Linked DNA regions of Saccharomyces cerevisiae S288C. The protein of the gene in region 1 purifies or fractionates together with the protein of each later gene. This does not show direct contact. Each region holds a gene or a part of one and is shown on either strand. Other genes may lie near its edges. The genes, in order: ISA1 and IBA57.

Region 1 (3,162 bases):
ATCGTTAGAGCCCTTTCTGTAAATTGCGTTTGGTCGTTCATATATTCTGTATATTTTATGGTACGTGTAGTTGATTTCTTTTTTCTTTGTTATTGCTGATTCGATTCAAGGGTAAAAAGGAACAAGTGACAAAGGAACGAATTATGAAGGAATTGAGGCAAGATTACAATGCCTTATATAATAATCTGGCAGGTTGCATAAGTTTGCGCCCCTTTGCCTTTTACTGTGATATAATTTGCAGTTCTTTGAGATGGGCCCCCTGTTGAAAATTGAACAAAAAAATCGCGGCCCCTTATGGAACGTTTAAGATTGTAATTAATAACCCTTCTAGAAAATTCTGGAAAAATATATATCTACAAGAACAACGAAAGAAAAGTTAGGAACAGCAAACACTACCACGATGGAGGGTTCAATGTTAATATGTATGATAAATATGTAAATAAATAAGTAAATGAATAAATAAGTGAATAGGTAGATTCTTTTTTTCTAAAAATGGTGCAGAAGGTTTTTAAACCATGAAACTCTCGCCACAACCGCATGTGCCCTTGGAGTTTGGATTCTTGAAGACAAACTTAGAGGCCAACTTGTCGTCGATCCAGTCCATTTCACTTCCAATGATGCTGAATAACGCCTTTGAATCGATGACAATTTTAACGCCATCTTGTTCTACTACCTCATCGAATTTCCCCGGCTCGGTGATATATTGTAGATCGTACGTTAGTCCTGAACATCCACGGTTTCTAGCGCTAACTCTAATCAATTTAGGTTCCGGCTGAGCTAGCAGTGCCCTTAAATGCTTGATTGCCTTCGGACTCAGGGTGATCAGCGCCTTTCTTGGTCTCAATTTCCTCTTTCTTTTCTTGGGAGGTTCTGTGCAAGAGCAGTCATTCTTGGATACTGCAGCAGCTATTTGCTCGTCTATAGCTTTATTCTGCTTCTTGATGGCCTCCTCATGAGATTTGATGGTCTCACGCGAAGGGAATGCGTAGCTCGACCACTTCGGGCTTTTAGAAGCCTTGCTACTCTTGCTCTGATTGGAAACTATGAATTTGAAGGGCTTCTTACCTGGACGTTGACTATCTGGAGAGACAGAGTCTGCAGCTGCGGGCACTGTCTTCGGTATGAATTTTAATTTGAAAGGATTTACGTTGTTGATTGTGCGAGACATTGTGCCATTCGTACCGCCTCGCCAAAATCCTCCAGTTGAAAGGAATCTGTGTGCCAGCAGTACTGAATTCCTGCTTCTTCCTGTGTTTATCATTATGTTACGTTATTGTTCCGATCGTTTGTTATACTACCAAATCAAAAAAATCTAAAATGGTCTTTCGTACGAGTGCAAAAATGGTGGCCAAATGTATAAATAAATAAATAAGACGAGTAAAATAATGTCAATAAATAACAGTTTCTTAGTAATTCTAAAGGATTTACAAATATTTGCAAAATTCCATTACTCTTCCTTGCTTTCCTGTCCTCTTTCCCTTTCCTTTATGAATTAAAAGCATCTCAATCTCTTTCCTTTATTCCGTTGAAATTCCCTGTCAATTTTAATCCAAAATAAAGAAGTCATTAAACGGGCATTTACCGGGTGACTGTTATCTGACCAATGAAATCTGAGGGTATGACTAATAAGCCCCCGCCCGAGTTTCGGCCAAGGGTACGGACAACGCCGAGAACCGGCGATGAGAAGAACAATAGCTTTTATCTATTTCTTATTAGAGAGGGATTATTAATCATTAATTAGTGTTTTATTTAGTAACTATGGGCTATACATAACAACCACATAAGAGGAGTCTTGGAGGAAAAAAATGGGAAAAAAAAAAATAGTAGAAAAAAAAGGGGATATCACTACTCTCTAAGTACTCTTGTGCTTGTGCATAGAAAAAGATTTCCTTTGTTCTGTAGTTGTGTGTCTTTTTTGATTGTTTTTTTTTTTTTTTTTAATTTTTTTTTGTAATTTCTTTATATGTCAGCTTTACGCTGCACAGTGTCTATAATGCTATGTCGTTATCGAGCCCTTTGAGCGTGGGGCAGGGTGAGTAATAACAATGAAATAAAAAAATGCAAATATAGAAAGAGCATGATTTCTGCTTTTCTTTTTCTTAAGCGGCGTAAGCATACTTGGATTTCTTTCTGATAGATTCACCATATTTTAAGAATAGTAAAGGCACGGGAATCATCGCAGCGGCAAATAGACCTAATAACAAACCAGCCCAACCGATACCCATGCCACGGAACATATATCCTGCAAACAATGGGAAGCATGCACCAAATGCAGACCTCATGAAAGTGTTTGCTGCGACGGCAGAAGCTGCCAACAATAGATACGATTCAATGATATAGTTTAAACATGGCAAGAAAATACCCATTAAACCGAACCCGATGAAGGCCCCTCCTACTGTGGGGACCATCCAATGAATCTTGTGAGGATAGTAGCCCGTCCAACAGAACCATAAGATACCAATAGGGAAAACGGTACCTGCAATGACCATTGCGTACAATCTGGCCTCGGGCACTAATTTCCCCTTGGCTCTACATCTTTTCAAATAATCGTTGTCCATATACCAAATGAAAGCAGCACACACCATCATACCGATAATCAAGGCGATGTATGGCAACTCACCGTTTTCAGTAAACCCATAACCCTCCACAAAGACAAGTGGGTAGGCTTCCAGTAACAAATACAAGATACCGTAGACAAAAGAGTTGTAAATAGTCACGAATAGTAGCAATGGTTCCACGAAAAGCATAATGATAGGCCTCGTCACAGTTTTTTGGACAATGTCTTTGATGGATAGCTCCACGTCTTCATGAGCAGCATGAATACCCCAGTTATTACTTTGCTTTCTCATCTGTTTGGCCTTGTTAACCAAAATGGTAGGGTGATGTGTTTCTTCAAAGAACAATACGATGGCAACGAAAACTGCGGAAGCGAAACAACCGACAACATATTCTAACCATCTCCAGGTAGTTCTTTGTGCGATATAAGAACCCATGACAGGCGATAAAATGGGGCCTACAAAAACACCTAGAGAAAATAGCGCAATGGCTTTACCTCTAACATTAGTATCAAACATGTCGGCAAACGCGGCGGGGACGACGGCCATGGGTGCTGCCCCGATAAAACCACCAAAGAATCTACATATGAAAATAGTTTGCAGGTTC
Region 2 (4,065 bases), on another chromosome or scaffold:
GGTTGTCTAACTTGAACGTAGTCAACCAAAGAAGCATCCTTAACTTCAACTTCTTCAAAAGACCATTTGTTGAACAACTTAATCTCGGTTTGAGCTTGTTGGACTTCTTCTGGAATTGGAGTAGCCAAGACGACTGGGGTGAATTCTTCAACAACTTCGAAATCTTCTTGAACTTCAACTGGAGCTTCGGTGTCAGACATCTTTGGAATGGTCGGTTATTTCTAGTCTCTTTTCTTGGTATTATGAAAGGAGTGTAATTAAAATAAAAAGTAATTTTAATTCAAAATGAAATTTTAAGTATTGATAAAAAGTACAAAATATTTTAGAACTAATGGGCACATTGTGGATAATCCATTACCTACTAACGTGAGCGTAGAAGTTGGCCCAAGGTGGAAGGGTTCAGTGAGACCTCCACTAAGCCTGCGGCGAAGGTAGGGGAGCTTGCAAAGGAGATTTCCCAGCAAAGGGGCAGAATTAGACGGGCCCAGTACGGTAGAAAGAAACAAGGCTTTACGTTCTGGGCGGGAGAAAAAGAATTCTCCTTCCCCGTAGCAGGGCGCGAAATGTTTGTTACCATGAATTAGTTTCTGGAAAAAAACTGATGCAGGGCCATTCTCATCTGAAAAATAAACTTGAGACAAATATGTATGGGTTAAGAATAATTATGGGTATATGGGTGTTGTTGTATAAAAGGTCTTGATAAGGAATTACGTAACAAATGATATGCAAATTTGAGAACTCAAGGCTGTTCATTGTTTCTTATTTGTATGCATATATCTATTTCCTATTTGCATATTCACAAGTAGTATTTACAAGGTGTTTTCGTGAAATCTATTTATGAGGCCCGTTATTGTTTTTCCAGTCGCTAAACCAGAATGGTTTTTGAGGTGTTATTTTAATATTTTCACCCTTCGTTGTAGTAATGTAAAATTCGACTGGCTCATCAGATGAGAAGGCAGCAGAGAAATGCTCTGTTCTAAGTAAAGCTACGCCATACAGCCCTTCATTAGAAATCAATAAGCCTGCCGGCCTTTGCTTTCTCTTGGTTCGTTCGGGCGGTTTATTGGTAAATGGATTGAGGGTTGGCTCGTTCTCTGCAAGGCTCTTTTCTACAACGTTGTCGATATGGAATTCTGCGTACTTTCTTTCTGGGTCTGTATCTAAAAGTTGATAATTATCCAGCTTAACTGGGACCAAACGTTTCCGTAGAATGCCTGTAGCATATGTCCTGGCTGTCAGCTCTTGTCCTACATAACATCCTTTGTTTGTGCTTATAGTGTTTGGAAAAAAATCAAAGTTTAGTTCCAAAGGTAGCAAAGTCTCAGATATGTAATCCTCAGTGCTATCTATAAGACCTTTTTGAAATCTGATTTCTCTAACTTGAACGGAAGCTTTTTTATTTACTTGAAAAGGGAAGTCGAAAACGTTAAAGTTAAATAGCTTAGAGAGATCATCCACTTGCTCGGAAGTGACAACTCTGAAGGATTGTGGAAATGTGGAGTAATGCCTTGACATTGACTCAGTTCTTCTTTCTACGTAAATACCCAATATTCTAGGATCTGAGTTAAACAAAGAATTTAAAACATTAACAGCAAAATTATTAGCATCTATGGAATTTTTTGGTAGAGCCATAGGATCCAGTAGATTATCAAACCACGGGTTTTCAATATCTTTGGGCAAATTAGGGAATTGAACCTCAACATCCCAGGTTTTCAAGGAGGAATGATCAATTTTTTCGAATTTAATCTTATTGGCCAACTTGTGAGTTTGTAAAACGTGCAAAATTTTGTCCACTACATTCCCGTGAAGCTCTAACAGATACTCAGGATAATTTGAAATTTGTTCGCTTACGGTCACAGGAGTGGGGTAAATAATTGTATCTGTTATTAACTTCCCCTTACCGTTTAAAAATGCAGAGTACAAACCAAACCTTGAAATATATGGCCCTTGAATACCTTTTTCGTTATACAGTCCCCAATTTCCCAGTCGTGCATCAAATTCTGGCACAGGAATAATTGGATCAACCTTCGTCGTTCCTTCTTCAGTAGGCACTTCATTCTCTTCTACAGTGGTTAGATTTTTCTTAATAAAATGAGGTAATAGTTTCGAGGTAACTAATCCGTTTAGAAATTTCACTGTGTCGGGTCCTCGTATCCTGATGTATGTTCTGTTTTCCAACAGAGAATAATTGAAAATACCATCTGGTTTCGTAATTGCGCTCGCATCTGGTGATTCAGTTGAAACAAATCGAGTTGATGATGACCTGAACCACAGCAAATTCTTAAGGGTAAAGCCTTTAATTCTGCATCTTCTACTGATGAACATGTCCAGTGGGAAAGCGAGGCAAGAACCTTTAAGGAAGAAGCTCAATGAGAGAACGGTAATTTGGAATACAGCGCATCTAATAGAATGGTAATTAAAACAGCTACCATGATATGTGAAAGTAAGTTATGTTGACCCCAAGTGAATATTAGTCAGCCATACGCTAATACAGAAAGAAAATCAGGGTAATACACGTAATCGCATGTGCGAAAGTGAGTACGATGAACATGACTTCCCAATAATACTAACCGAAGATACAAAAAGTGAGTAGAATAGCTGTTGAGGCAAACTTACAACTTATCGCAGGTTGTGTGCTTCTCTTTTTCTCTTTATTTTTCTTTAAGATCCTACATCTTATAGTATATATAAAAAATGTATGCGTAGGTGAGTCTTTATTTACTTACAGTTGGGAGTAAAAAAAATTATAGTCAGTCTTATAGAATAAATTTTTTTTTAGTGAATATAAAGAAAATATCAATAGGATAATGAATGAATATCGTAACATAATAATACCAATAAACAAGAAGGAAGCAGGGAAAAACAAAAAAAAAAAATTATCTTTTTTTTCCCATCATCCTTATTGTTCTACCTTCGGTATTTCAAATTTTGCTTCCCTTGGTTTAAGCTTTATTTCTTCTAGTTGGCTTCAGCGGCTAACTTTTCAGCTTTAGCAACAACATCTTCAATACCACCAACCATATAGAAAGCATGTTCTGGTATATTATCGTATTTACCTTCCAAAACGGCTTTGAACGAGGCAACGGTGTCCTTTAATCTCACTAATTTACCTGGGATACCAGTAAAGACTTCGGCGACAGCAAATGGTTGAGATAAGAATCTTTGAATCTTTCTTGCCCTTTCGACAGTTAGTTTATCTTGTTCGGACAATTCATCCATACCCAAAATAGCAATGATATCTTGTAAAGATTTATAGGTCTGTAAAGTTTCTTGAACCTTGGAGGCGACGTCATAATGTTCTTGACCGACAACGGCGGCATCCAATAACCTTGATTTAGAATCCAATGGATCCACTGCAGGGTAAATACCTAATTCTGAAATACCTCTTGACAAGACGGTAGTAGCGTCCAAATGGGCAAAAGTAGTGGCAGGAGCAGGATCTGTTAAATCATCGGCTGGAACATAAACGGCTTGCACAGAAGTGACAGAACCCTTCTTTGTGGTGGTAATTCTTTCTTGTAAGAGACCCATATCAGTGGCCAAAGTTGGTTGATAACCGACGGCAGATGGAATACGACCCAAAAGGGCAGAGACTTCTGAACCAGCTTGAGTAAATCTAAAGATATTGTCGATAAACAACAAGACATCTTGACCTTCTTCATCTCTGAAATATTCAGCGATCGTCAAACCAGTTAAAGCGACTCTGGCTCTGGCTCCTGGAGGTTCGTTCATTTGACCGAACACTAAGGCGACCTTGGATTCACCTTCCAAGTTAATGACACCAGTTTCCTTCATTTCACGGTACAAGTCATTACCTTCTCTTGTTCTTTCACCAACACCGGTGAAAACGGAAAAACCACCATGGGCCTTGGCGATATTGTTAATCAATTCTTGAATGAACACAGTCTTACCGACACCTGCACCACCGAAAAGACCAATCTTACCACCTCTGGCATAAGGAGCTAATAGATCGACGACTTTGATACCTGTTTCCAAAATTTCAGCCGAAGTAGATTGTTCTGCAAAACTAGGAGGGTCTGCGTGAATTGGCTTTCTTAGTTTGGA

The links.
Region 2: the proteins of ISA1 (region 1) and IBA57 purify together in Saccharomyces cerevisiae (affinity purification with western blotting; one study listed by BioGRID). This does not show direct contact.

What each region holds. Positions count from the first base shown.
Region 1 is NC_001144.5:85,502-88,663, reverse strand, and holds ISA1 (Fe-binding Fe/S cluster assembly protein ISA1), read right to left. Parts: upstream 1,262-3,162; coding exon 509-1,261; downstream 1-508. Other genes in the region: chaperone ATPase HSP104, read right to left, coding at 1-41; polyamine transporter TPO1, read right to left, coding at 2,100-3,162. UniProt on the Saccharomyces cerevisiae protein: Involved in the assembly of mitochondrial and cytoplasmic iron-sulfur proteins. Probably involved in the binding of an intermediate of Fe/S cluster assembly.
Region 2 is NC_001142.9:648,036-652,100, reverse strand, and holds IBA57 (Iba57p), read right to left. Parts: upstream 2,326-4,065; coding exon 832-2,325; downstream 1-831. Other genes in the region: 40S ribosomal protein uS7 RPS5, read right to left, coding at 1-200; ATP2 (F1F0 ATP synthase subunit beta), read right to left, coding at 2,959-4,065. UniProt on the Saccharomyces cerevisiae protein: Required for lysine and glutamate prototrophy and mitochondrial genome maintenance. Has a role in the maturation of mitochondrial aconitase-type and radical-SAM Fe/S proteins biotin synthase and lipoic acid synthase.